Linked DNA regions of Notamacropus eugenii. The protein of the gene in region 1 purifies or fractionates together with the protein of each later gene. This does not show direct contact. Links are inferred from orthologs where the notes say so. Each region holds a gene or a part of one and is shown on either strand. Other genes may lie near its edges.

Region 1 (15,377 bases):
ACAACAAAATATATCTGTAGTCCGTAGAGTCTGGAGGTTTAATAACGTCAATCTGTAGGTTTTCAATGGTAGGGGCAATAAATAAAGTCAGTCTGCAGGTGTTTAAATGGTAGGGTCACCTATTTTCTCTCCTGCCTCCTTTTGTTATAGTTCTCTTTTGTGAGGAGTTAAACTGCTGACAAGAAAGTTAATTAGAGGCCACATGATAGGCCTTTCATCAATGCAAACTGTGACTGGCAAAGTTGCAGTACAAGGGCCTCAGTTCCTAAACTGGAATCAGTCCAAGCAGAAATGATAAGGAGCTTACAGAAAAGTTAACAGGTCCATAACACACACAACATTAACAAAATAAGCAAAATTATAACAGGGTGAATAAAGAAATCCATATAGCTACAGCTTTAGGGGGTCAAGTCCTTCGGTAGTGTCCAAGATGTTCAGGAGTCTGGCGAGTACCTCCTATGCATCTCTCAAACAGCTGTGTATGGGTCAAGGCAGGTTGGTGGAGGTATTTCTGGACCGTCACCTCCTGCAGGTTGGCTGCACATATACCCAAAGTCTAAACAAGGTTTTAAAATGAGGTCAACTCAAACTGACTGCACAAATAGCTGACTTTGCACATAAGACATGTATACAGATACCCATAAATGCAATTTAAAAAGTGCTAAGTGCTATAAGTACACAAAATGCTATTCAGAGAAATTAATTCTGGCTGGCCAGGGTTGACAATGGAAGTCAGGAATACCTCTCTCCCTGTCATAGTCCACTAATCAACACTAACCTATGTAAAAGAAAATGGAATATTACTCTGAAATATTAAAATTATGGAATTCTCTATTTGGTTCATCCACTGTCTTTGCAAATTTTTCTTGAATTTATTATCTGTCTGGATGTGGGTATTCTTTTTAATCACTGACCTTTTGGAATTGTGGCTTACCATTGCATTGATCATTGTTGTTAAGTCTTTCAAAGTTAGTTTTCTTTAGAAAGTAGTTATTGTATAAATTGTTCTCTAAGTTCTGCTCACTTCATTTGGTATTAATTCATATAAATCTTCTTAGAAATTTCTGAAACCATCCCTTTTACCATTTCATATGATACAGTAATATTCCATTGCATACACACATATATATATCTGTGTATACAGATATATATACATATACATACATATACGTATGCATGGACGTATGTATATGACCATAATTTGTTCAGCCCAATTGATGGGCATCTCCTCTTTTTTAGTTCTTTGCCACAAAGAACTGCTATAAAAATTTGTATACATATGAGGGTACTTTTATTTTTTCTTTGAACTCTCTGAGAAATATATCCAGTGTTATTTCTGGATAATAATAATAGGTAGCATTTTCTATAAGTACTTTAAGTTTTGCATAACTCTTTAGTTCACAAATACTATTTATTAGTTTACAAATATTATCTCACTTTATTCTCACTATAACCTTGGGATGTAAGTGCTACATGATGTCATTGATCCTTTCCAAGAATGAAGGATGAACAACAACAATCCCCATTTTATAGATGAGGAAGACAGAGGCTAGGTGATTTGTCAAGGGTCATATTTGTTGTTGTACAGTTCTGTCTCACTCTTTGTGACCCCATGGATCATAGTGCACCAGGCCCTTCTATCCTCCATTACCTTTTGAAGTCTGTCCAAGTTCATGCTTCTTGTTTTCATGATACTATCTATCCATCTCATCCTGTGCCATCCCCCTTTTCTTTTGCCTTCAATCTTTCCCAACATCAGGGTCTTTTCCAATGAGTCCTGTCTTCTCATTATATGGCCAAAGTATTTGAGTTTCAGCTTTAGTATTTGACCTTCAAGTGAATAATCTGAATTAATTTCTTTTAAGTATTAACAGATTTGATTGCCTTGTTGTCCAGGGGACTCCCAAAAGTCTTCTCCAGCACCACAATTTGAAAATGTCGATTCTATGGTGCTTACCTTTCTTATAGTCCAGCTCTTACATTCATATGCTACTACTGGAGAAACTACAAGGACCTTTGTCTACATGGTATTTGTCTTTGCTGATGCGGACTTTTGTTGGCAAGGTGATGTGTTTGCTTTTTAGCATGCTGTCCAGATTTGCCATAACATGCTTCCAAGGAGCAAGTATCTTAATTTCACAGCTGTGGTTGCTGTCTGTAGTGATCTCTGACCCTAAGAATATAAAATCTGATTCTTCTTCTTCTTCCTTCTTCTTTTCTTCTTCTTCTCCTCCTTCTCCTTCTTCTCCTCCTCCTCCTTTTTTCTTGTCTCCCTATTTGCCAAGAAATGGTGGGACTAGTTGCCAAGATCTTGTTTTTTTAGATGTTAAGTTTCAAGCCAGCTTTTACACTCTCTTCTTTCTCCCTCATCAAAAAATTTCTTAATTTCTCTTCACTTTCTGCCATCACAGTGGCATTGTCAGCATATCTGAGACTGTTGCTAGTTCTCCCAAAGACCTTAATTTCAGTTTTTGGTTCATCCAGCCTGACATTTCACATATTGTATTACATATAAGGTGATAATATACAAACTTAAACTCCTTTTCCAATCTTAAACCAATCAATTGTTCCACGTTCATGTCTAACTGTTGCTTCTTAGACTGTATACAGATTCCTTAGGAGACAAGGTCCTCTTTGAGGACCTGTCATATTTTGTTGTGATCTGCACAAAGGATTTAGTGTAGTCAATGAAGCAGAAGTTGATGTTTTTCTGGAATTCCCTTGTTTTCTTCATAATCCAGCAACTGTTGGCAATTTGGTCTCTAGTTCCTCTGCCTCTTTGAAAACTATCCTGCTCTTCCAGTAATTCTTTGTTCACCTAGCTTGTAGAATTTTAACTATAACCTTACTGACTAGTGACATGAGTGCAGCCCTTCTGTAATTTGGCATTGTCGTTTTTTAGGATTGGGATGTAAGCTGATCTTTTTCAATCCAGAGACCACTATCCTGTTTCCCAAATTTGCTGGCATATCAAGCATAACACTTTAACAGCATCATCTTTTAGTGTTTTAAATAGCTTAGCTGGAATTCCATCACTTTCATTAGCTGTATTGTTGTATTTGACTTCATGCTCCAGGACTCTGACTCTAGATCAGTAATCTCACCATCTTGGTTATTAGCGATGCTAAGATCTTTCTTATATAGTTCTTTCATGTATTCTTTCCACTTCTTAATTTCTTCTGCTTCTATTAAATCTCTACCATTTTTGTCTTTCATCATGCCCATCTGTGTGTGAAATTTTCCCTTGATGTCTCTAATTTTCTTAAAGAGATTTCTTATCCTTCCCAGTCTTGTTTACTTTTATTTCTCTGTATTGTTTCTTATCTCTCCTTGCTATTCTCTGGAATTCTTCATTCAGTTGGGTATATTTTCCTCTTTCTGAAGAGTCATAACCACTAGTTAAATGTCTAAAACAGGACTTTAACTCAAGTCTTCCTGACTCCAGGTCCAGCACTCTATTCACCGTACAATTTTGTGACTTTTGGGGTATATTTCCAAATCTACATATTTCCCTATCTTTTCCCATTGTTCCCCTGATCCCACTCTGATACTGCCTATGAGATTTAGAGCAAATCCTTTATCTTTCTAAGCCTCAATTTCATTATTTGTGAAATGGGGGGATTGTGTTAGGTGGACTCAAGCTCCCTTGCAACTGTAGAGTTATTTCTCTAGCATGTGGAGACATTAGGAATACTTGTTACAGAAATCAAATGAAATTTAATAGGGATGATATAAAATCTTACAGTTGGATTTTTAAAAAATCAACTGCACAAGTACAAGATGGTAGGGGGGATGAAGGTGGACTCTGGTATATGATTAAGGAGTAATAATTCCTGTAAAATTGGCCTAGAGGGTTTAGAAGACTCAAGTCAGTAATTTAACATGGTAGTCAGAAAAGCTAGTAGGGCCTCAGACTACATTAACATAAATATAGTTTCCAGAAAGGGGTCATACAGTGGTCATTTGAAAAAACTAGGGACTTTTAGGAGAGAAAAGCAACTTCACTGGAGGTGGGGGTGGAGTTTGTGTAGCGTAACAGCACATTTGGAAATGTAATGGGTCTTTTTTTTTGGTCCTAGACTAAAAATAGGAGCAACTTGACATGAAGAAAAGCTTTCTAAAAATTAGAGATGAGTAGGATGAGAAGACATGGGTTCTCCATTACTGTAGGTGTCTGAGCAGAATTGTGATGACTATTTATCATTGACATTGTAGAGGGTATTTAGTTCTTCTTAGGCATTGTTGGACTAGATGACCAAGAAAGAACAATGAATTTGGAGAGAATCTGCATTAGAATGCAGACTCAGCTAGTTACCCTCTTTGTGACCTTAGGAAAGTTATCTAAATTCTTTGGCTCTGTTTTCCTCATCTGTAAATGAAGTAGATGGACTAGTTGATCTCTGAGGTGGGCTTTGCTATATCCAGAGTGCCATCTACCACCTTCATCTTCTGAACTCCACTATAGGTTTAGTAAACTCAGACAGACAAAACTCCCAGATACTTTCCTCCCCCCCTTCCCCCCATGAATTTCCCCCCAAAACCACAAGGTTATCTTAGAATATAGGTATATTCTTGATCATTAGGTCCTGTGGGCCTAATTATTGCTATCTTCTGATAGCTGGGGAACATCACTTGTCCATCTTGTGATTTCTTACTCTCCTCCCTTTTCCTTGGTGCCTCTGTTCTGCTCCCTGGAGAGAGCCTAGGTTTGATGGTGGTTGGAGGCCTGATAATAATACAATATTTTTGCTGAGTTTCCCTTACCAAGATTATGGAGATGTCTTAACACATCCATAACCCTTTGCTGCTGGGAACAAAGAGAATAAACCACTAGAAGCCTTAACTGAAAACAAGAAAGCAGCAAAAGATAAAGTGGGCCAAGGGAAGAAAGAAGGCAATATTGCAGCATGAGAGAGAACTAAGGCTGACACTATTGCCCTGAGGCTCACAGGATTTCTAGGGGGGCTAATAGACCTTAGACATCATCTAGTCCAGAGGTTAACCTTTTTTAGTGTGTGTCATGGACCCCTTTCCCCTTGCTTGGAATGCTCTCCCTTCTCATCTCTGCCACCCGGTATCCTTCAAATCTCAGCTAAAACCCCACCTCTAGAAACCAGCCTTTCTTGGTTCTCCTTAATGCTAGTGGTGTCCTCTCTCTGAAATTACCTCCAACTTAACTTACCCTGTACCTATCTGAAGAAAAAATTTTGTATTTTTCAGAGATCAAAAATCCACCTTCTCCTTCTCAACTTGGAAAATTAAAAACAAAGCCCTCGTAACAAGTCTGCAGTGTAGCAAAACAAATAAACCATTGGCCGGTCCCCCAAAGTGTCTCAATCTGCATCCTTGTAAATATCTCCTACGTACATATCATCTCACTCATTATAATGGGAGCAAGGCACTGTGGGTAACAACTGGGGTTTGGCCCTTCTTTGTCCCAGCCTTGTGATTCCGAGCAAGTGGCTCAATCTGTCTCCCTCGGTGTTCTCATCTGCAGATTATCCGATAAAAGCACACACACAGCATCAGAAGAGGAAACACGTGGCAACTCCTCAATCTGTAAAGTGCTCGTCATTATTAATAATAATCATCTCCAGCCCCCGGCACTGTGCTTGGGAGCACAGCAGCCAGTTGCAGGTGGTGCCCGGATATTTCCGACGCTGCCTGTGTGACCCTGGGCAAGTCCTTTGATTCCTGTGTTTTCAGTTGCTGCGGCTGTACGATGAGGATGAGAACAGTACTAACCTCTTAGGAACCTCAGCTGAGAAAACGTAGGCAAAGGGCTACATAAAGGCACTCCGGGGCAGTTAGGTGGTGCGGGTTCCCCGCCTCATTTCACGCCAGTCCCAGGTGTAGGATCCCGGGGGTGTGGGCTGGTGAGGTCCCCACTCAAGCTGACCACTCAGCAGCATCTCAAGCATAAACCACAAGCCCTTTATGACTCTTGCACAAGCAGACCGGAGGAGGGGAAGCGTTCTGCAGAAGCAGAGGCCGGGTTAGGTAGCGGAAGAGCACCAAGACCCCTCAGCCTTTTGGCCAAGAGCCTCAGCCAGCAGTCTCTATTTCAGAAGTAGGGAATGGGAGTCAGGGAAACCGGAGGCAGGGGCGAGGGCCGGTTTCACAGCTTCAAGTGTCCCCACGTCATAGCCTGTCTGCTTCACTTTAGCCTTGGGTCCCCACACTCTCGGCCAAGGCACTTCAGTCTGCCTCGGTTTCTTCCACCGTCAAACCGCTCGAGCCCCCCGCGCTGTTGCCAGGGTCCAGTGCTAGAAACCTAGGGGCTCCCTTCTCAGAAGGTTGTTTAAACGCATGAAAGGAAATAAACATGAGTGCAAAGGAGACTGACTGCTTGAAAATATAGTCATCGATGGAAAAAAAAAAGTCCGTGGACGGCGGGGTGAGAAGCCCCGCTGTGAGTGCAGGCACATGTTTTACAGAGGAGGAGACTGAGGCCCGGCCCGAGGCCCGCCCATGCGGCGCTCCGGGGCGTTCAGGGCCGATCTCCGCTCCCGGGAAGGCCAGAGGGTTGGCACAGACGGCCTCGCCAGTCGGGGTGGAGGAAGTCCGGGATCCTGCCCAGCAGTCCGCGGGGCGGAGGCGCCCAAGGCCTGTTTCGCAGCACAGGCCGTAACTAACGCTAAGCGCAGGGAAGGGCGGGCGCTGATACCGGAAGGCCTATGCTCGCAGGGCGGGGAGTGGGGGGAGAAGGGGGAACGGGTCTCCGCTCCGCGGGCCGAGGCCTCCCCTTTAAGGGGCCGCCCCCTTTAAGAAACCGGCCTTGTCCGCGCCCACTCCGCGGCCCCTTTAAGCGCGCGCCCCGCGGGGCCCCGCCCCTTCCTCCCCACCCCCCCCCTTCTTACTCCGAGCTTGGTTCCTTTAAGCGCGCGCCCGCTTGGGGGACCGCGCGCCCGCTTGGGGGACCCCGCCCCTCCTCCTCCTCTTCCCCCTAGCCCGCTCCTCTTTCCACCCTCGGCCGGCTCCCGCCCCCGCCCCCGCCCCCGCCCCGCAGCCGCACCCCCGCGCCCGCCCCGCAGCCGCACCCCCGCGCCCGGAGCAGGTCTGGCGGCCGGCGCGTGGAGGTGAGCGCGGGGGGCCGAGGGGAGCCCGCTCCAGCCCTTTCCCTGTCCTCGCGGGACCCCGGGGGCGGGGCTGGAGCCGGGGGCGGAGGCAGGAGGGGGGGCCCCCTCGTGGCAGACCGCGGGACAGGGGAGCGAGACCAGGTGGGGGTACCACGGGCGGAGGGGGCGGGGGAGGAGCAGGCTGGGGTCCCGGTCCAGCCCCAGGGCTCCCAGCCTGCCCTGCCTCGGCGATGTCCCGGGCTTGGTGTCCCCCGGGCTCTGGAGCCTTCCGGGGATATAACGGGGCCTGCTGACCTCTGTCCTCTGACCCCCGACCAGCCCCCCGCGAGCTGCGGATGGGGCGCTCCCCTCCGCCCCGGTCCCCGAGCCTGGGCAGCACCGCCTTCCCAGGGTGGGAGGGCGGGTGGAGGCTGTGGGGAGAGAGCAGGTCCCCCAGCTTGCTATGATACAGAGAGGATCTCCCTTTTCTCCCCACCACCCTAGGGCTGGAGTTGGGGTAGGGGTCCCCTCCGAGGACCGTGCTGAGCGGAGAACGCGGGGCTGCCCGCCACAAGGCCTGCGGTCATCATGGCAATGCGGGAGTTGGTGGAGGCAGAGTGCGGTGGGGCTAACCCCCTCATGAAGCTGGCAGGTCACTTCACCCAGGACAAAGCCTTGCAGCAGGAAGGGCTGCACCCTGGCCCCTGGCCCCCGGGAGCCCCAGCCCCCGAAGCGGTGAGTCTTCGGGAAGGGGGCACGGGAGGGAGGGGAGGCGGAATGTGGGCACCCCTCTGACCGCCCCCTCTTGCCTCTCTCCTAGGTCTCCAAACCTCTGGGAGTGGCTTCCGAAAATGAGGTAAACATGCACGTCTCCTTCCTGCTACCTCTTCTCTTGTCTCCTTGCCCCAGTGGGAAGAGCGCTGGAGTTACAGGACCTGAGTTCAGATTCTGTCTTTGCCACTTACTACCTTTGTGACCTTGGGCCTCTGGGCCCGCTGTCCTCAGCTGCAAATGAGGGATTTGGAGTAGGTGACCTCTGAGATCCTTTGTGACTCTCAAGCTGTCATTCTGTGATACCTTGTTGCCTCTAAGTCTCATTCCCCTTCTTTTCCTTCCCTGGCCTGACGTGCTTTGGCTCCCTCTCTTATCCTTTTGCATGCTTCTCACTGGAGTTTCCCGTTTTCTTTGTTTCTGTAGTTTCCACGTTCTTTTCTCTCACCTGTGGTCTTTGTATGCTCTAGTTTGCAGGCTTCTCTGTCTTCCCAATCAAGTTTTCCTATTGCTTCTTAATGGTGTCTTTCCTGACAGTTGGTGGCTGAATTCCTTCAGGACCAGAATGTCCCACTTGTGTCCCGGGCTCCCCAGACCTTCAAGATGGATGATTTGTTGGCAGAAATGCAAGAAATTGAACAGTCTAGCTTCCGCCAGGCTCCCCAGAGAGGTAGATCCATGGCCCAGTGGGAGGGAAGATGGCCAATTTTTGTGCCATTTTGGGAGACCCCTTACTAAGGGCTGGTCATTGGCAAGAAGACTTGGAGGTAACGGAAGAGACAGGATGTGGTACTATCAGTTGAACTCAACTTGAGTTGCTGAGCTTTGTTTTTGTTTTTTGATTTTTTTTTTCATTTTTTATTCATCTCTTTCTCTTAGCCCCAGGTGTGGCTGACCTGGCACTATCTGAGAACTGGGCTGAAGAGTTCCTGGCAGCTGGAGATGCAGTGGACGTAGCTCAGGATTACAATGAGGCTGACTGGTCTCAGGAATTCATAACTGAAGTTACAGGTGAGGCTTTAAATGAGGGAGTCTGTAACCCCCTTCAATGAAGCAGTCAGATTCATTTCTCCTCCCTTTTCTCCCCATTCCTCCCCAATCAGGATATAATGCAGTTTCAACAACTTGATCCTTAGGTCCACTGGCTCAATTTTATAGGCAGATGGGCCTTTGACTTCCATGTAGGCCAGGGGTTCTTAAGCTGTTCTTAAGGTTCTTAACCTTAACAGACCCTGGACTGTGTTTTTTTAAAAAATACTTTGATAACTGTATTTTAAAAAATAATTTTAAAATAGAGTTTAATTACTTTCATTTTTTCAATTAACAAGCTTTTAAAAAAATCAATCTGTCTCTCCTAACACTGTCGCTACATTGATTAAAAAAATTTTAAAGCCCTCAATACATAGCCTACATAGTCCAGCAAAGCAAATTGCTACATTTACCATGCCCAAAAAGGTATGTCATACTGTGCCATCTTAAGTTCATCACTTCTGTATTGGTGAATAGCTTCTTCATCCACATTCTTTGGAACTAATCTTTTATCATTGCATTGACCTTTCAAAATTGTTTTTCTTTATGGTGTTATTTAATAAATTATTCTATTTCTGCTCATCTCACTCAACATTAGTTCACAGCGTCTTCCCAGTTTCTTCTGAAAGTGTTAGTTTCATCATTTCTTATGGCACCGTAATATTTCATTCATTCATATCCCATAATTTGTTTAGCCATTCCTCAATAGGAGGATACCCCCTTAGTTTTCAATTTGTGGATATCATAAGATCTGCCCTTTTTTTAAAAAAAAAAATCGTTTTGTTGGGGTTTAGGCCTAGTAACGGTATAGCCTGGTCAAAGGGCATGCACAGTTTGGTAACTTTCTGGGCATAATTCCAAATTGCTTTCCAGAACAGTTGGACCAATTCACAGCTCAAGCAACAGGGTAAAAAGTACAAAAAGTATACTTTTTCCCAGAGCCCTTCTAACATTTGTCATTTTACTCTTTTGTCATCGTTATTAGTCTTACAGGTATGAGGGAATCTCAGAAGTACTTTAATTTACATTAAATTCTTAGGGACTTAGAGCATTTCTTCATATAATTGTTGGGAACTTGGGTTTCTTTTTGAAATTTCCTGTTCATATCCTTTGACCATTTATGTAATGGGAAATGGCTGTTAGTCTTACAAACTTGAATCAATTTCTTATGTATCTTGGATATGAGACCTTTATCAGAGAAACTTGCTGCAGAGATTTTTTTCCCCCACTTACATATTTCCTTTCTACATTAGATATGTTTATGTAAAAAACTTTTTAATTTTACTTAATCAAAATTGTCCATTTTATCTTGTGTGATCCTCTTTAATACTTATTTCATTCATGAACTCTTGCCCATAGATCCTTGCTCCTCTAATTTGTTTATGATGTGACTTTTTATATCTAGGTCAGGTTTCTGTATGGAGCATATCTTGGTGTTTGGTGTGCAGTGTTGGTCTAAACCTAATTTCTACCAAGCTTCTGTCCAGTTTTCCCAGCAGTTTTTGTCAAATAGTGAGTTCTTCTCCCAACAGTTGGGGTCTTTGGGTTTATCAGTGTACTACTGTGTTTGTTTGCTTCTTTATGTTGTGTGTCTAATCTGTCCCACTGATAGACCTCTCTCCTTTTTTTTTGACCAGTACAAAATCTTTCTAATGATTACTGCTTTATAGTAGTTTGAAATCTGATACTGATGACCCCATCCCCAACCTTCCCACTTTTTTTCATTTATTTGAGATGATTGCATTTTTGTTCTTCCATATGAATTTCATTATTATTTTAATGAAATATTCTATGAAATGTAAAATATTCTAATAGGTCTATAAATATTCTTTTGAGAATTTGAGTAGTACAAAAAATGAATTTAGATAGTATTTTCATTTTTATCATGTTGCTTTGACCTACTCATGAGCAATTAATGTTTCTCCAATTATTTAGGTCTGTCATTATTTCTGTAAAGAGTATTTTATAGTTAGGATAACTATTTTAAAGAGACATGTATGTTATGCATTTAAAAACATTATCCTAAGAAGGGGTTTATAAGCTTGCCAGAAGAGTACATGGCACAAAAAAGGTTAAGAATCTTTGATTTATATGATGGCAGGGAAGTGAAACTGGTTTTGGACCAAGAAAACTGGTTTGTATTGGTGTCTGATAAGGTAATGATTCATTGCTCTTTGGGGGTCAACCATAAACTAGGGTTGTAGAGAGCTAGATATTGGTCACCATTCTAGAACCTCATCACTGTAGTCTTCTCACACAGAGAAGTCAGGAGTGGTTAGCCATCTCTAGTTAAGGTTATGAGCTTATAGCTTGTCTTGGCTGTGTTGCCTAGTCACTTTGATCATGTTTTGGGCCCCTGACAGCTTGAGATAGGAAGCTCCCTAGGATCAGGGTAGTGACATGAAAGCCCTGGGCATTCTTAATTTATCTTCTGAAGTTTGATCAGTATGGAAGACTGTCTGTCGCCTCTGTTCTTTCCCCTGGTGCTTGGTGGTACAGCAACAGAGGAGAGATTTCTCGAATAGTGTAGTAGCACAGAAAGTTCCTATTTTGCTTTTGCCCTTTGGGAGAGCCAAGGGATTTGTAGAAGTAGGTGCTGGGGTTCTGTTGTTAAAGTTACCACAGCTGCCCTCTAATTTTAGGTCATGAGGATGTGACCAGAAGGCCCTCTTCTGCCCGTTGTTGGTTTTTTTTGTTTCACATATCTGTGAGGTTGTTGTTTTCTTTTGAAAGGATCAGAATTTGATTGGCAGCAAGTCATCTGGAAAAATAAAAGCTCCACAAAAAATGCTACCTGTGCTGGTATGGGAAACCTTTTCTAGGACTTTCTGCCATTTTCTGTCAAATTTCTGATATTCCCTTTTCCTCATTTGGGGAAAAAACTCCAGTCTTGAGACTCAGTTAAGCCAGATTACCTGAGAACATTTGTAGATGAAGCTGGAGAGGAGACAGCAAATAGAAGTGCTGGTGAACTGCCTGGATTTGGATTCTGCCACCTCAGGACTAGATACAATATATGAGCATTGGTTAAAAAGGGTTAAGAAGAACTGGAGCTAGGCTAATTCATACAAAAAGATCTGGGTGGTACTGATCCCATTTAAAATATTTTCAGCAGTTGATTCAAGATACGTAAAGAAGGGAAGATGCTAAAAGAAGAGAAAAGATGGTAGAGCAAGGTGATTCCCTTATTGATCCAATAATATTCCAAAAGACCGTGTCAAATGCTATTCCGTGTTTTTAAGCTTTGTTTGATATTGACACTCAGCAGATAACAAGTCATATGTTCACCAAAAGCCTTTGCCAGTGTCATGGAAGATGACCTTTGATGGACTCTAAATAAAAGAGAGATTTGATGGGGTGGTTTTCCTAAATATTTCTATTTGTGAATGATGTTATGCTGGTTGCATTGAATGCCCTTGGGGACTCGTCACTCTGATGCCAAGTGAATAAAGACTTTAAAACAAATAGAAAAAGACAGTACTATAATACAGAAGTCAACCAAGGAGACTTTTTAAGGATTACGTAAATATCATTTACCTGGACTGTAGCATACAGTTGGATGAACAACCTGTTGAATTACTCTAAGGATATGCATATCCTGGGTCAACACTGCAGGTGGATAGTGACCTGAATCCAGAATTGGCACCAGGTGAAGATTAGGCTGAATTGAATTTGACTATGCATACAGCACTTTTCAATACTCCTACCTTGCCTCAAAAGTCCATCTTTTTACTAACACCAGTTTTTTCTTGGTGATACTATTTGGCTACGAATAGAAGAATACCTTGATCTGGAGAGAATCACGGTTACAGAGCTAGTAGATGTAAGCCACCTGCAGCACGTGAGAAGCGATGCAAAAGACACATGTATGACACAGTGAAGGAGGTAAGCCAGGTATAAGAATGAGCAAAAATAAATGGACAATATATAGAAATGAATGGGAAAGGAAGCAAAGATCTTCAGTGTGATGTTTGGACAAGATTATAAGCATCTCAACCTATTCAGCTATAAGTTATGGAATATAGATATTTACTTATGTTTATGGGGATCACTAAACAAGGGTTGGAGGCAATCACAAGAGAAAATTGATAATTCTGATTACATGAAATTGCAGGCTTTTTGTAAGAAAAGAATTAATACAGCTAGGATAAGAAGGAAAGTGATTGATCTTTGTATCAACTGTTTGTAACAAGGATCTGGTTCAGAACATATAAGGAGGTAATAGAAATATATAAGGTCAGAAGTTATTCCTCTTTGTATAAATAGTCAAAGGATATAAGCAAATAGCTGTCAGAAGAACAGAGCTGACTTTTTTACAAAGGATAGTGTGACATAGTAAAGAGAGAACTGACCTTGCAATCAGAAAGACATGGGGTTTTGTCCTGCCTTTGACACATACTTGGCTGCATTATTCTGGGCAAGTCACTGACCCTCTTAGTGCTCTAGTTACCTCTTGAAGACTAAATTGTTGAGAAGGTGCTGATCTGCATTGGTAGAGGAAGTTTCCTCAGAAAATTCTCTGTGCCACTTAAATCACAGATCTAGTCCCTGTCCTTATGACCTTTACTTAATATTCAGGTTACATGCGTCTTTTGAACTTCATGTGGCATACAGTAGAATGTGTTGGTGTTTCCCTTTTTTGCTGCAACAAAGAGTGCTGCTTGTATGTTTTGGTATACATTGGAGCTTTCCTCTACGAAGTTCCTACTCGTATGCCTACTCAAGGAGGTAGCCCAGGATTTCTGAAGGCTATGCCATCAGAGTATGGATCTCTGGCACATTCTACCTAGCTAGAAAGACTTTGAGCGTGGTCCTGGTAACAGACGGTCTTTTTTCTCAGAACCAAACCAATTTCTGATGGAGAAGTACATCACTAGTAGGCTGGCCATCTGTTGAGGAAATGTCTTTGGCTGTGGCGACACTTTAGAGAAAATTGTTAAATGGCTCTCAGTTGTGTGTGGCCCTTTTCTACTCCTGTAGTGATTCAAGTAGTAGAGTATTAGGAAAAGTGTAATGGGTGCTAAGAATCACATGGTCTTTATACCCATGATGAACTTCAGTTTGACTGTTGATGTTCTAAGTGTGAGCTCCTTGTCCAGTGACCAAGAAGTGGACATATTGTAAGACAAGTCAAATCACATCTGTCTGGATATTCTTGCTATTAATGAAAGAAGATGAAAGAATAAATAGTTTTTGAAGAGGTCAAAAAAGTTGATGAAATAGGCTTTATTCTATCTCGAGCAGTTACAGGAAGCATTTCGTGGGACATTTGGTCATCACATTGTGCAGTACTAATGATGTTTGCTAAAAGAACATCATGATGATAATTGCAGCTTACACACTGACAACTTTTGCTGAGGATAAAATAAAGAAATTCTATAAAGAACTTAGTAATATTCTCCAAATAAAATTAGCCACTACTCTGATATTGGTGACTTCAGTGCAAAAATGGGAAAAGGTGAGGATGGGGAGAAACAAATGGGCAAATGTGTCTCAGGGGAAAGAAATGAGAAAAGCCAAAGTTATATTCCTTAAATGGAAGCCTCATACTCTTATATCATTCGTATTTTCTTTTTGAAAAAGATTAGTAGGTTCTGGACATGGTGAGCACTAAATAATAGCACGAAGAATGCAATGTTGTTTTTTTTATCATAACAGGAAGAAAACTTGTTATAGTTACCCCTGAGTCAGCTATGTATATACAATGAAGCCATTGATTCATCAGAGCTAAGATGAGAATTTGTAAAGAGAGAGAAATAGAAGAAAGAATAATAGTAAAAAAATTGGAATGCAATTAAAATGATTAACCCTTGAATTATTTAAATATGTAATTGAAAGTTAAAAATAGGAAATGGACAATAGAACCTATATCAACACCAAGCATAATAATTTTGTCCAGAAGCTTAACCAGTGTTAAGTTAATTGTCACAAGGAAACCAAAAGAACCCGGTAAGTTCCTCAGTCAGCAAACATCTAACTTGCTAAAAAGAGAGTTATCTTTCTTAACTGCCAATGACAAGAGTGGGTTAGAATATAAACTCATCTGTAAAATCTTACAAAGGAAGACGATGGATGATTATTAACATTGTCTCATAAAACAAAAGTGGTGGAGGGCAAAATCAGTTTAATCAAAGCCTGGCAAGAACTCCAGCTAAGCAAAATCATCTCAAGGGCATCCAAGAATGAAAATGGAAGGAGGAATACAAACAGAAAAGAAAATTAAAGTATTTGCAAAAGTCATTTTAGCAAATTTTTTTTTTAGTGGAACCACCATATTGGAAACCCTAACATCACAGTCCACAAGGTACTTATAGAGGATGTAGCAATTACACTAAAGCAAATAATGATGCAGCCAGATTGGACCAAGTAAAGAGATAAAGGAAATCTGTCCTGGAGGAGATATGATTATGAAGACATTGACCAATGCAAGGTATCTGAAGTAGGAGAAGAAACCAAAGGTATAGGAAAAAAATCTTAGACTCTTAATAGTGAAGAAAAATGACCGAGAGAACATTAGTA
Region 2 (15,823 bases), on another chromosome or scaffold:
GTGGCACAGCTTTTTAAATTCTCTTTTATAATCTTTGTTTAAAGGAATTGCTTCCTGGGTTGGGGGAGCAATATGCTGGGAGATAAAGGTGATATAAAATCAAAAATAGCTATAAAAAAGTTTTTTTAAAAAATAAAGGTTATATGAGGAATTCGGAAAAACATAGGAAGACATATAAACTGATGCAGAATGAAAAAACTGAACCATGAACACAATTCCAGCAATGAAATAAAGCTAAACTGTCAAGTAATTGAAAAACCAGTAATGGACCCCAAGAACAGACTATGATGAAATAAATCTACCTCTCTACTTTTTGACACTGAGGTGCGACACTAGTAGGGCAGTCCCAACTAAAATCTCACCTCCTACAAGAAACCTTCCCCAAATCCTCTTAATTCCAGTGCCTTCCCTCTGTTAATTATTTCCTATTTATTGGCTATAAAACTTGCTTTGTACAGATTTATTTGTTGGTTGTTTCTTCCATTAGAATTGTAAGCTCCTTGAGGACAAGGGACTATCTTTTGCCTCTTTTTGTATCCCCAGTACCTTGCATAGTGCCTTCCGTGTAGGAGTTTAATAAATGTTTATAGAATGAATGTTGCATAGGTAGTCTGATTCAGTCACAGTTTCAGTTGTTTTTGCTTCATTGCTTTCCTTTGTTCCACGGGAACACTGACTTCTAGGGGGAAGAAGTGGTTGGAGAAGGGAAAGGTTTATTTGGAAATGTCATGGTTTGTTTCGTTCTAAGGAAGCTCATAGTATTACCTGAATCTTTCTCTGAAGTTGTCAGAGAAGTTGTCACGCTAGGCTTAATGATGGGTGTAGAGAGAAGAGAGCCATCTCAGCGGACAGAACCTCTCCCTTTTTCAGGCTACTGCTAGTGAGAAGTTATAAGAAGTAGAGAAAAGAAAAGGTTGCTTTGGAAGGCCGTAAGCCATTGACTTGCCTAGTTAAACACAGGAGAGCATACCTTGGAAAACAAGGCTAAATCATTGGTCAAGGTAAACACAAAGTAAGAACTCAAGAAATCAAAAAAAAAGTTTTATTCTATGCTGAGCAGGCTAGAAGGTACAATCATAACAGGATTTTCTCTACCAACAGGCACTCTCTGCCAACACAAGATGTCTGCATAGTATGTGTTGCTTCAGACAACAGACATGTGACAAGCTGAATTTTTGTAAACTGAATCATGAAGGGCAAGGTGAAGGGCCCTATAATGAAAATAACCATGCCCTGATTGATTGCTTTTTAAGTGTAAGAATCATACATCTCTACTGCGCAGGAAGAGAAGTTCAATGAAAAAACATCTTGAAAAGGTTAATTTCCCACTGTTCTTTGTCATGGGCAGAAAGTAGGCATGACAAGAAAGTAAAGATATAGGATTATCGCTGCTGCTATTCAGTCATTTTTCAGTAGTGTCCAACTCTTTGTGACCTGGCTTGAAGCTTTCTTGGCAAAGATACTTGAGGGGTTTTTGCCATTTCTTTCTCCAGCTCATTTCACATATGAAGAAACTGGGGTGAAATGGCTGGCCCAGGGACACAGAGCTAGGATGTGTGTGAGGCCAGATTTAAACTCAAAAAGAAGAGTTTTTCTGACTTCTGGTCCAATACTCTGTTCACTGTCAAATAAGATTATAACATTCTTATGAAAGTTAGGTGATATAACCTTTGATCCAGGAGAGTTCACAACTCACTTCTTTATCTTCTTAACAGTGCTCATCGCAAATTTACAGACCAATAAATAAAGAGCACGTTCACGATTGCACAACTGCAAAGCACTGTCACTCTGCTTGTCCAGATGCCAACTAGAATTAAAGGGATATACAGGGAAGGGCAAGGACGACTGCCTCTAGGAACAATTGTACCCTATTTTCTACTCTGACTTCCTACACAGCACTGTAATACCAAAATAATCATAATGTTAATTGACATTTACCTAGGGGGCAGAGGCTGAACCTGTGATTTATTTCAGAAGTGTAAGCTACTTCTCTCCCAATGCAGATCAGTGCCTTGTCTTCAACGTAAAGTCTTAGCTACTCAGAGAATTAAGAGATTAAGTGACAAGATATATCAATAATCAAGGTTTTCAAAAACAGATAATGAAACCTAATATTTTACCACAAAGAAGCAGAAAACTTGGTAAGACAAAACATTTTATAGCTTGGCAAATATGGTCTCCCATTTTATGTGGTTTTGCTTAGTTCTTCGTTATAAGGAAGTTTTCGTTTTGGAGGAGAAACATTGAAATGATGATATAAAGGGAAAAGAAAGTAATCTAGCTGGAATGTAGAGTACATCAAGGGAAGTAGATTAAAGAAGACTAGAAAAGTGAACTAGAGCCAGATTCCAGAGGGCCTTAAATAGCATGATAAAGAATTTATGTTTATTCAGTATGCAGTAGGGATGGTGTAATCTAAGTTGTGCATTGGTATCCAAATGATAGATAATGAAAGCCCAAAGTGGGGTTATTACAGGGAAATGAAAAAGTGGGAAGAGATCAAGAAATATTTCTAGGCGGAGAACAAAGTAGGGTTGGGGCTTTGTACCCAGTCATTGATAGCAGTTGAGCAGTATGTAAACAGCTAAACTCAATACCATGCCTAGGTAGCTCCTGCCCTCTACTCCCACAAGGGAATTTAGGTTGTGCTTATGCAATGTTTGTCCTGAGTGCAAAAATTGCTAGTCATGGCTCTGTTGCCAGAATAGGAACAACATGACTTGCTACTTGATCGTATATGAAAGCTGGGAGAGAGTAAGATTAAGGAGGCCTGTGTAACTAGGTTTTTGAGGAAGGATCAGTTCTGAAGTTGTCAGAGAAGTTGGCAGGCTAGGCTTAATGACAGGTGTAGAGAGAAGAGAGCCATCTCAGCTGAGAGAATCTCTCCCTTTTTCAGGCCTGAAACCTGAAACCAGGTTTTCCTGGCTCTGAAGGAAGCCAGCTCTCTATCCACTTTGCCAATATGGCATTCAAGGATATTAAGATAGTAATTTAAAGAATATCTTTGAAAATCCAGTAAAATATCACTCATTTTGAAAAGTTCAAATTCTAAATATGTTTTAATAAAAGACAATTTTGGGCACTACTTGTATAATCATTCCTTTGTTCAGGTATTTACTTATTTATTTGCACATTAGTCATGTTGTAAAGAAGAATCAGAATCAAAGGGAAAAATCACAAGAAAGAAAAAAACAAAAAAACAAAAAGGAAAAATAGTATGATATGCATTGAGATTCCATGGTTCCTTCTCTGGAGGTGGAGAGCATTTTCCATCATTGAGTCTTCTGGAATTTCCTTGGACCATTGCATTATTGAAAAGAGCTAAGTCTATCAAAGTTAGTCATTCCACAATCTTGCTGTTACTGTGTACAATGTTTCCCTGGTTCTGCTTATTTCACCCTGCAACAGTTCATGAAAGTCCTTCCAGGTTTTTCTGAAGTCTACCTGCTCATCATTTTTTATGGAACAGTAGCATTCCATTACATTCATATAACACAACTTGTTCAGCCATTCCCCAATTGATGGGCATCCCTTGGACTTCCAATTCTTGATCATCAAAAAAAGAGCTGCTATAAATATTTTTGTACATGTGGGTCCTTTTCCCATTTTTATGATCTCTTTGGGATACAAACCTAGAAGTGGTATTGCTGGATCAAAGGATTGCTGGATGCACAGTTTTATAGCCCTTTAGGCATAGTTCCAAGTTGTTCTCCAGAATGATTGGATCCATTCACAATTCCACCAACAACGCATTATAGTGTTCCAATTTTCCCACATCTTCTCCAACACATCACTTTCCTCAATAGGTATTTATTAAAGGCCTACTCTGTGCTGGGCCAAGTGCTAAGATAGACAATTCTGGAAAGTCTGATCACACTCACCCTATGCTTAGAATCTAAGAGGAGGACTGTTATCAATCAATCATCATCATAACTGACATTTACATATTGCTTAAAGGTTTGTAAAGCACTCTGCATCGTATTATTTCCTCTTTTGTAACAACCCGGTAACGCAAGTCCTAAAGACAAAGGTGCAGATCTGATTTCATCAGTGTAGGGATAGTTGGATCTTCAATGTAGATCAGCAACTCTGTAATTTGTCAACTTACACAGTTGTCCAGGGTGGTGATGTGGTTCATCCTTCATTTGGAAGAGGACCATCACAGGCTTGCCTGGTGTATTGAGAGGTCCTGGGGGTCAAAATTCTTGTTTTTCAGAAGCCTGATCTTCCTGACTCTAAGGTCAGCCACCGTGATACATTTCAAAATCTCCATTTTATAAGTAAGGAAATTGAGGTTCAGAGGTTAACTGATAAGCCCATAGTCATGCCATTTGTATCAGGGATAAGAAACTGATTCAAAATCCAGCTTCCCTAAATGCAGGTAGAAGGCTGTTACAAACTAGAGGAATCAAGGAAAGAATTTGTGAAGGCAGCATTTGCTATTCATACAAGAAAAGTTCTGATAACATAAACTGAGGAAATCTGACTAAAAATTTCACTTCATAGTAGAGCTCCATTATATAATGAATCCTAAACATAAATCTTAGTGATGCCTCTACTTTGTGCTGTCCATTCAGTAGAAATAAGGAATACCAACCATGTCAGGATAATCACAAATTCCTCATAAATACCAAATAACTGAGTTCAACTAAATAAATAAAAGGACTATTTCTGCTGTGACTTAAAAAAACAACAACAACCCGGTTCTTTAACCAGTTTACTATATCTGACAATAATATTTCCCCAACGGTGGGGTGGTGGGAAAGAACACTGGATTAAGATGAGGGAAATAAAAAAAATCTAACAGTTATATAGCTGCCTAATATGTGCCAGGCATTGTGCTATGCACTTTTCAAATAATATCTCATCTGAACTATGCCCAAAAGTCTAAAGCCATGCAGACCCTTTGACCTAGCAATACCACTACTAGGTCTGTATCCCAAAAGAGATACAAAAACAAAAAGGAAAAGGACCTATATGTACAAAAATATTGAGAGCAGCTCTTTTCTGGGGGCAAAGAATTAGAAATTAAGAGAATGCCCATCAATTGGGGAATGGCTGAACAAGCTGTGACAGGTGATGATGATGGAACACTACTGTACTATAAGAAATGATGACCAGGACGCTCTCAGAAAAACCTGGAAAGACTTGTATGGGCTGATACAAAGTGAAACGTACAGTGTACAAAGTAACAGTAATAACATAAGAAGATCAGCTGTGAATAACCTAGCTATTCTCAGCAATACAACAATCCAAGACAACCCTGAAGGACTTAGGATGAAAAATGCTATCCATCCCCAAAGAAGAACTGATGGCATCTGAATACAGATGGAATCATACTTTTTTACTTTATTTTTCTTGAATTTGTTTTTGTCTCTGTTTTCTTTCGCAATATGACTAATATGGATATGTTTTGCCTGCCTACACATGTATAACCTGCATTGAATTGTTTGCCTTCTTAATGAGGGGGACTTAGGGAGGAAAAAAGGGAGAAAATTTGGAACTCAAAGTTTTTAAAATGAATATTAACAGTTGTTTTTACATGTAACTGGGGAAAAATAAAATACTAAATTTTAAAAAAATATGTCTCATTTGAGCCTCACAACAATCTTTCAAAGTTAGATCTATTATTATCTCCATTTTACAGATGAAGAAGCTGAGGCAAACTCAGGCAAAGTGACTTGACCAGGGTCTCACAAGTAGTTGAGTGTTTGAGGCCCATTTGAACTCAGGTCTTGCTGACTCCACTATCCTGACTCTCCCTCCCTTAATTACATGTTACTCTGGATGCCACTTAAACATTCTGAGGCCTAATTTTTCCACTTGAAAATGGAAATAATGACTATTCCAATTCCCATAGCATTATGTCATGAAGATATTAAATCTGCTGAATTAATTGATGATAATAAATTACATGAGTTCTTTGTAAACATTAAAGCCTTACATAAATGTAGGTTCTTATTACTGGCTTCAACTGACGTAATTAAAACGTAGAATGCTAAGAGCAGTAAGAAACCCTAGGTATCGTATATAGACAGAAAAAACCAATCAACCAACCTAGAGCCAAAACTGGAGAAGGGCACTGTACTATCCTGGAAGTAGCAGTCAGGATAAGAATTCAGGTCTCCTGATTCCTAGATCAAACATTTTTTCTTCAGTTTTCTGATTTCCTTCTAATCTTGGCTGTTTTGATTTTGTTTGTGCAAAACTCTTTCTAATTTAATGTAATCAAAATTATCCATTTTATGTCTTATAATGCTCTCCATCTCTTGTTTGGACCTAAACTCTTCCCTTATTCACAGATCCGACAGGCAAACTATTCCATGCTCTCTGACAGTCTTTTATTGGCTCCTCATCCTCCTGCTGTCTCTTAAATCACAAACCTTAAGTGTTCCCTACTGCATACTGAATAAAGGTATAAATTCTTTATCATGCTATTTAAGGCCTTACAGAAACTGGCTCCAATCCACCTTTCTAGTCTTCTTTCATCTACTTCCCTTGATGTACTGTACATTCCAGCTAGATTACTTTCTTTTCCCTTTACATCATCATTTCAATTTTTCTCCTCCAAAACAAAAACTTTCTTATAACAAAGAACAACTACGCAAAACCACATAAAATGGGAGGCCATATCTGCCAATCTATAAAATGTTTTGTCCTACCAGTTTCCTGCTTCTTTGTGGTGAGATATTAGGTTTCATTATCTGTTTCTGAAAACCTTTATTGGTTTTTCAGGTAAAGTTCTATCTTCTCTTAGTGATATTTTCATTAATATTATAGCAGCCATTGTTTACACTGGGTTTTTTTTTCTTTTGGTTTACTTCTGTCATTCACTCTGTACCAGTTCATACAAATCTTCCCTTCCATTTTGTCTGAATTCCTCATATCTATCATTTCTTACTATAAATAGTTTTCCATGGTATTTATATGCCATAGCTTTCTTTGTTCAGCCTTTCCAATCTAGTGGTCACTCACTGTCTTCAGGTCTCTACACCACAAAGAGCTCTGTTGTAAATATTCTGGTATATACTAGACCTTTACTTCTGTCTTTTAGTTCTTTGGGTATATGCCCACAAATTAGACTACATCTTCCATTCTTGGTCTGTAATGCTCACATATCCCTGATTTCTAGAATGTACTCCCACCCCATCTTAATTTTTTTGGAGTCACTGCCATCATTCAAAACCTAATTCCTTTGCTACTTCTTAAATAAAGATTTCCTTGCCTCCCTGAGTTGAAAGTAATCCATTTTTTCTCAAAATTTTTAAAAAAATATTTATCTATCTCACTTAGATTGTCAAATTTATACTCAAATTTCTCATAATATTTTGAACAGATTGTACTTATCCCACTCCCATTTGCATCATGATCATTTGGACACATCTTTCCTGCCATTATTAGACTGAAAGAAATAACATAGTATAATGCAAAACACATTGGATTTGGAGTCAAAGACTTGGCGTTCAAGCCCTACTCTTACTTTCCATGACTTTATGCAAGTCCCTTCAATTCTTATGGTCTGTTCCCTCATACATAAAATTAAGGTGTTGCCCTGTATGATTTCTAAGCTCTTCTAGCTCTATCTTGAGAGCAGGGTCCAGGAGCCTTGTATCCCCAACGCCTTTGTATATGTACTTTCTCAAGTACTCAAATGAATCTATATCTCGTTAATTAGGGAATTCCAAGGATTCAGTTCACATCTTGTCAATGCCTGCCCATCCTTCATGTCCTCCCATAAATTCATCACAAAAGGTCCTCCTGGAGGTGTTCCACATTTTCTCTTGACATTGAATTCAAGGGTGCCAGTGAAACAAGCTAGCTGGCCCATGCCTCCTTCTTGTCACTGATCAACCATCTTTTTCTCTCACACAGTTCCTTGATGGCCTTAGTTATTGTTACAGCCTGCTCTCATTTACACGTGCCTTTTCATTACCCTCTTTATGACAGTCATCTAAAATTCTTCTGTTGCTCAACAGAAGCAGCTTTATTTCATGTCTCACTTTCACTTAGCAGTTTTGTACATGTAGACACCTTAAGGCTGGGTCAGAGATTTAGGGAGGGAAAATGTCAGATACTGTGCTAAGAGCTTTTTTTTTTTTTTTTTACAAATACTATCTCATTTTATCTTCATAAAGATCTTATTTGATTTTTACCTTGTGAGGTAGGTACTATTCCCATCATCATTTTACAGTTGAAGAAAGTGACTTGTCCAGTGTCACAGAACTAGGTCTGAGGTTGAATGTGAACTCTTGTATCTTCCTGATTCCATGCTCCACTATACCATCAGCTGCCTCTGATAACCTTTACAAGAATGTTTAGGAGGCAATATGTTCAAGAGAGAAACATATGAATTCAGAGTTATAAGATGTAGCTTTCTGGCTCCACCGTTTGGAATCCATGTTTTTCTTCTGCAAGATGAGGGCACAGTATTAGATCATCTCTACGATCATAGGATTATTCTCTTAGAACTCAAAGGTACCTTAAAAGTCATCCAGAGGCACTAAACAATACATAAAGATCCCTGAAGGGGAATAATTGAGTTAGAAAACCCACCTTACTATTATCTTTCTTCGTATTTTGGTAAATATTTCCCAACTGCCTTGTAACCTGTTTCCTTTAGCGCTAGGCATGTTGCCAATCAGGCCCGCCTTTCACACCTGGCTTGGTTGTCAGTTTCCTAAGGGCCCCTGCTGCCCAAGATCCCACACACAACTGATTGCAGCACGGAGATTTGAAGCCAGCTCTAAGTCTGTCTAACCTTGTTCTCCGTGTCTAACACACATGTGCAGGATGACACGAAGTCCTCAAAGAATCACTGATTACGGCGATAGGTACAGACCTAAGTCCTGGGGGTACAAACAAAGGCAGAAGACAGTCCCTGCCTCCAACATGCTCACGCTCGGAAGAGGCGGAGGACGCACACCCCATAGGCGTACACATCTACAAGGTAACTAAGGGGGAAATGGGCGTCATCTCGGAGCGGGGGGGCGCCAGCTCTGAGGGGCGTCTGGAAGGGCTTCTGGCACAACGAGTTACCAGGCCTGAGTCACGAAGGAATCGAGGAGTTCGAGGTGAAAAGGGGGATTTCAATACTTTTGGGCACCCAGAAAATTCACAGCACTACTCATTAAAAAAATATATATATATGTATATATATGACTCCGGAGCTAAAATTTCTTCCTGTGGCGAGAGAAGAGTACCAGGGGAGCCCGAGCTTTCCAGGGGGGAAGGTCAGTTTCTCCCCGACCTCCGGGCACGCCTTTGTCCTTGGACTTCCGGGTGCGGGGGTGGGGGTGGGGAGGAAGTCGGACCGAGGCTCCGAGGCGCAGGCGCAGGGCTGCTCTCTCCCTTTGTCCCGTGTCCCTCCCCCGCCCCCGTCCCATTGACCTCACGCACCTGTCCCAAGGTCCCCACAGTCGTAGCCTTCCGCGGTGAGGGGAGAGAAAAGTAACAATTTTCCCCACGTGAACGAGGGTACATCACGTGACGGGAGCGAAGCCGTCCGAGGCGGGAGCCGGAAGGCAGGCTGACGCCAGGCCGCACGCCCGGGCCTGCGCGGCAGAGCCGAGATGCGGCGGCGCCCTTTGCCCCACGTTCCGCCCACAGCCCGGCTTCCACACCTCGAGCGAACGGGCGGTGGCCCAGCCTTGTCCCCGCCCTCCTCGGGCGCGGGCGGAGCTCCGCTCTCGCTGGGCGAAGGTCTCTCGGCCCCTTGAGCACAGGGCCGCGGTTACGTGCCCAGGGCGAGGGCGGACTCGGGGCGGTGCTGCCTGTCTTAGGGCCCTGCTTAGATCTGGGCCCGAGACTCAGCAACCCTAGAAGGGAGTGAGCAGGCTGCCCGAGCCGCGGACGTCTGATCGCCGTCACCTGGTGCCCTATCACCGCCCTCACCATGAACCCAGACTTGCGCAGGGAGCGGGACTCCGCCAGCTTTGATACGGAGAAACTCACTTACGTCCTGGATGGAGGCCCCGAGAGGACCCGGCGGCGCCGGGAGATCGGTGAGAGCGGCCGGGCTGGCTCCGGGGGCTGCAGGGGCTGGGGGTGAGCTCAGGCCCTCCAGGACTCGGGGACCCCTCCCTGTAATCGGCTGCTGCCTTCCTCGAGCTCGGCCCAAATCCCGTCTTGTGCTGGCAGCCCCCCTCAGTTCCTCTGCTGATGGTCTGTGTCCGTGCGTAGTTGTTGGTGTGTGGAATCCCCCATAAACCGTGGCCTCTTGAAGAACCTTCCTTTTTGTTCCCTGAATTTAAAAACGCTCCTCGCAGATGGTAACGGGTTTCTGAATGTTGTGTCTCCCCCCTTCCCTCCAAACTGCAGAGAATATGATCCTGAGTGACCCGGACTTTAAGCATGAAGACCTGAATTTCCTTACCCGGAGCCAGCGCTACGAGATGGCTGTCAAAAAGAGTGCCACGATGGTGAAGAAGATGCGAGACTTTGGCATAGCTGACCCCGAAGAGATCATGTGGTTTAAAAAGTAAGTGTGCCAGCAGTAGAGGTCCCAGAGCTTGAACCGCTCCTGGGATCTGCGCTTTTCTCATTCCCAACTTATCTAGGCCATGGTGTATGATGGCTTCTTGGATATATGCCTTTCTAGTTCTTAATCTTCTGGGTCAGAGTTGTAACCTTTTTTGGTGTCATATGCTCTGGCAGTAGCAGAAGAATGTCTTTCAAAGCATAGAATTAAATTAAATTTAGGATTAAAAAGGAAGCCAATTCTGGTGAAGTAGGTATCAAAATTGTGCTTTTAAATTCATAGATACCAGGTTAAAACCTTGTTCTCTATGGATTAATGTTAACTAATTTTAAAAGGTAGCTTGTAGTCTGCTGGGTCAATATAAATAATGGATAGGTGGAAGGCCAAAACGAAAGTTTTTTTCCCAACTTTGCATTATATTATTCTTCAGAGGCATCATAAAAGAGGCATTGTGGAACAACTGGAATGACAGTCCTAGGTTCCCATCCTGCCTGTGACACACTCTCATCTATGGATCTTAGATCACTTAGTGTCCAGGGGCCTTATCCTTCCCTATCTTTAAGGAAAAGGTGGTTGGATTATGAATTCTGCAGCCTTTGATTTTGCTTTAGCATGGAATTTTGGAGAATTGTCCATCGATACAGATTTTTTATTTCTTACTCTCAGGTACCTGCTATTTGAAGGTACACTTTGGTCACAACTTCTTGTTTTTTAGAGATTTAAGTCCCTCAGAAAGACCTCCCGTGCTTTGAAAATTTGGGGAGATTTCTTGTAGTGAGCCCAGAAAATGGTAGCAAGAACATTCTTGAAAAACTGAAATGTGAAGTTTTTATTTTTGTCTTGGTGTAGGATGTGGCATATAAGCCTTTTTAACTGTAATAAATTACTCTTGTCAGAAATCATGAAAAAAGTGTATTGATAGGAAAACCAACAACTGATGTGTTCAAATAGAATTGATGGAAAGTGTTCTAAGAATTGAACACTTACAGTTGGTGGTTATTTATTTATTTATTTTTATTCTTATTTTTTTTTTTTAATGTCCTACAATCACTACCATAAAATTAAGATTTTATCCCCCCCACATCTACCCCCCACTACCCCCTCCATCCCCACAACAGCATACAGTTCTGTATAGGTTCTACATATACTTTCCTATTGAGTACATTTTCACTATAGTCATGCTATGTAGACAAACTAAAACAAATGGAAGAAATCATATAACAAATCAAAACATGATACACAAAAACACACACACACACACAAACATGATCTGCTACATTCTGCGAATGAATTCCATATTTCTTTCTCTGAGTGTGGAAGGCATTTTGCCTTAGAAAACCACCATTGGGATTTTTTTTTTTCATAAGTTCTTGCATTATTACGAAGTTCCAAGTCTACCAGAAAAAACTCTTGTACACTGTGGTCATTGCTGTGCACAAAGTTCTCCTGGTTCTGCTCCTTTTGCTCAGCATCAGATCATATAAGTCCTTCCAGGCCTCCCTGAAGTCTTCTTGTTCATCATTTCTTACCGAGCAATAGTACTCCGTTAACATTCATATACCATAATTTATTCAGCCATTCCCCAATTGATGGGCATCCCCTTGACTTCCAGTTTTTGGCAACTACAAAGAGTGCTGCTATAAATATTTTTGTACATGTGGGACCCTTTCCCATTTTTATGATCTCTTGGGGATACAGTCCTAGTAGCGATATTGCTGGGTCAAAGGTATGCACATTTTTGTAGCCCTTTGGGCATAGTTCCAAACCGCTCTCCAGAATGGTTGGATGAGCTTGCAGCTCCACCAACAATGAATTAATGTTCCAACTCTCCCACATCCTCTCCAGCATTTATCATTTTCTTGTTCTGTCATGTTTGCCAATCTTACAGATGTGATGTGGTACCTCAGAGTTGTTTTGTTTTGCATCTCTCTAATCAATAGTGAGTTGGTGGTTATGTAAATGGAATTCATTTTCTGTGTAGGCCCTAAACAAAATCTGAATTGCTGATAGGTGCCAAACATATACTTTGCTGTTGGAACCCCTTTGTTTTGTGTGTGGGTGTTCTGGGTTTTGTTTTTTGGTTTTTTTTAAGAAATAAAACAGTTTTAATGTTTTCTTTTACATTCTGGATAAATAGTGCTCTGACTTAATAATATGTGGTGGTTTATTTGGTTTTGAGTGTCTTATACTCAATAAATTTTCCCTTTCATAGCAATAAATATTTTTGAACAATCAAATTATTTATGCCCTAGACAATCCATGTTTTAAAAAAAACTGATGGAAATATAAAGTGTAGTTAAGTTCTCCTTTTTGTAATAACTATATTGATTAGTTACTTTAAGATGTCCTTGTACATCTTTATTTTTTACATCTTGTGTTATTCTTATAGTTCCTGTGGCCTAGTAAAGACCATGAGGAACAGGACAGACAGCTGAAAAATCTTCTATGGGAGCAAAGTGGAGAACCTATGGACTGACAGAACTTTAGAGTTGGAAGAGACCATGGAGATCATTTTACTCAGCTCTCTTATTTGACAAGTAGGAAAACAGATTGAGAAAGATCAAGTGACTTGCCCCAAATCAGCCAGCCTCATGGTATATCTAGGATGGCATGTCAGAGTCACATAAATTTATGGCACAGGAGCAAGCATAAAGCATAGGCCACATATGGCAGACACACCCTAAAGTGACCATTCTGATTCTGTCCTGGAAAGACCAGGAGCAAAGCTCCTCCTACAATGTCCTTGCATACCTAGGCACCCTTGATCTTGGTTCAGTGCCTAGGTGTATGTGGCAGATCTACTGAATTCCACGAATGTTCTTTTACCACATCACACTCCACCTTGAAGACATTCTAAAGAAGCCATAATAAAAATTGTGATAATGTCAAACTTTACTCCCAGCAGAAAACATTGAAGTTGAAATAGTAAAATCTTACACATTTATATACCTTTGGCAGAATTTAAGCAAAGAAAAAATTACATACTGAAGTCCTTTCATTTACATCTAGTTTGAGATATGTCAGAAGTCATATGCTTCTTTAAAACCATTCAGTCAGAAAATTAAAAATAAAATAGGAGTTCAGCAGAATTTAATCCCAAATGGACTTCATAGGTTTTTTTTTTTGAGTGGGTTACACTATACAGCTTTATCAGATGGCATATTAAAGTGAGATAATTTAGTTTTTAGAAGTGATTTGAAGTTCTAGTAAACTCTTTTCCTGTGAATTTTCCATTAAAAATAAATCTTGTGCTATTTATAATGTTTAATGTGTGATATGTTTAATATTTACAAAATAATCTATCCAGGGATCTTTTCACTATTACTAAAATTTGAACTTTTCTAGATAATCCAACTTGGAGTACTACTCACATACTTTTAAATGCTCCTATTTTGATAGTTTGTATGCCTTGTGTCTATGGAGATATTGAAGAAGAGTATCTCTAGTAAATCACATTTTGGTTTTGAGTCAATTGTGATGGTAAATTTTACAAAATATTATTAACCCCCATTTATAAGGAGACATTTTAAAATGACAAGTTAGATACTTCTGGAGAGCCTGACTTACATTTTTTTCAAGTGAAAGGTGGGGTATCCAAACAGTCTTGAAAGAGATTTATTCCTTGTAATTGTGAATATAATAGATAACCAGACTCAAGTGAAGTCATAATGAAACAGAACAAAGTTCCCCATTTGGTAGGAAATACTGTTTTTCCTGTATATCATGTTTCACTTTAAATATTAAAAGATATTTTTTAAAAATGATCTTGATGATATTTGTCAGGTATTTGATCATCATTTATTGAAATAAGAAATTTTGTCAAACAATAATTCCATTCTTGAAGGGTGTTGAACCAGTCAACTACTGTTTTTTTTAATATTAATTTCTCTTCATATTAGAATATTCTGCTTTATAAGAACACTACATGTGCAGAATGAATATTTGTAAATTATTTTCAAATGGTCATGTTGAAGAATAAGGGCTTTCTGAACCATCACTTGACAAAATAGACTTTATCATATGGGGAACATTAGAAAAACAATTTCATTTTTTCTGCTGTGCAAAGAAAACAGTCACTGAAACTCAGTTTTCTAGTTTGATATATTTAAACTTGTGTGGTTGTGGTTTTTCTTTTTCCTCTTAAGTATAAATTGAATTTGTCTTTTGAGTTTCATTTTAGAGTGGTAGTTGAGAAGTACCAGTGAATTTCTAGTCCTGATATTAGGATTTTGAATAGGTAGCTGTTTTCATTTTAGATGTCATGCGTTTTTACATGCAGATGTATAGATGCCTTATTCATTTGTCATTATGTCATCATTAATTCTAGAAATCCCAAAGGAATTATTTTACATATGTTGTTTCTTCATGAAGAACTGTGATCAGCATTTCAAACAAAGGCTACTATTCTTTTAATTTAAGTTATTACTCTTTATTTGTGAGGATTCCTCTCAGATTTACATTCTTGCCTAGATTTTTTTGGAGAGTGATTTAGGAATTACAAATTCTTGTAAGACTTGATGTCATTAGGTATTAGAATCCTTTTGTTTTTGAGATTGATTTATGAAATCATTTTTGTCAGTGAGATTTTGGTGTTTAAGTGCTGTTGGTGAAATGAGTGACCAGATGGGGAAAAGACACTGAATTTGACATCAGAAGACAGGTTTGTCACAGCTCTGGAACTTAATTACTTGTGGCAATCTTGGGGAAGTAATTTTATCTCTGGGCTTGAGTTCTCATATTTATGATGTTGAAGAAGGTAGGCTAGATGATCTCTAGGATCTCTTTCAATTTTAAGATTATGTAATGCTAAATTATGCTGTTGTTAACCCAAATAACTTTGGTAATGAACTAACTCCTTTCCTTTCCCACAAATCATGTTCGATCTTTGGTGGTGTTCAGGCATTTTTAATTAGTGCATTATAATAAGGAACTCATTGTATTGTTTTGTTGGCACAAAAACAGGATTTGGCATCCAGAATTCAGTTCTTCAGCCAGACATCTGTAACTTGGGTTAAATCCATTTCGATTATTGGGATTAAGGAATATAGAATTAGTGTAGAAGTTTGCTCAAGTGATTGAGATTGTCGTATTATTGAGATAGAAAAAGTAAGTAAAGTGAAATGAGCACTGGGTTTGGAGTCAGATGACTGTTTGAATCTTAATTTTGCTTTACTCTGTGTGACCTTAGGCAGGTCTCTAAACTTTACCTGGCTTCTTTACCTTGAAATTGAGAGGGTTGAAGTCAATCTAAATTCCCTTCATTTCTAAGTCCTTTAGAATTGCTTCTCTTGAAGAAATAAGGAAGAATGATGACCTATACTTCCTTAATAATGGGGGTGGTTTGAT

The links.
Region 2: the proteins of PEX5 (region 1) and ACOX1 purify together in Homo sapiens (affinity purification with mass spectrometry; 3 studies listed by BioGRID, with this or other methods). This does not show direct contact. The link is inferred for Notamacropus eugenii from reciprocal best matches to the Homo sapiens genes PEX5 and ACOX1.

Annotation. Positions count from the first base shown.
Region 1 is NC_092874.1:195,639,413-195,654,789, forward strand, and holds the start of PEX5 (peroxisomal biogenesis factor 5), read left to right. Parts: upstream 1-6,979; 5' UTR 6,980-7,079; intron 7,080-7,562; 5' UTR 7,563-7,646; coding exon 7,647-7,793; intron 7,794-7,878; coding exon 7,879-7,914; intron 7,915-8,366; coding exon 8,367-8,499; intron 8,500-8,708; coding exon 8,709-8,840; intron 8,841-15,377.
Region 2 is NC_092873.1:342,211,775-342,227,597, reverse strand, and holds the start of ACOX1 (peroxisomal acyl-coenzyme A oxidase 1), read left to right. Parts: upstream 1-9,892; coding exon 9,893-10,001; intron 10,002-10,317; coding exon 10,318-10,477; intron 10,478-15,823. Other genes in the region: CST complex subunit TEN1, read right to left, coding at 8,316-8,408, 9,397-9,894. UniProt on the Homo sapiens protein: Involved in the initial and rate-limiting step of peroxisomal beta-oxidation of straight-chain saturated and unsaturated very-long-chain fatty acids.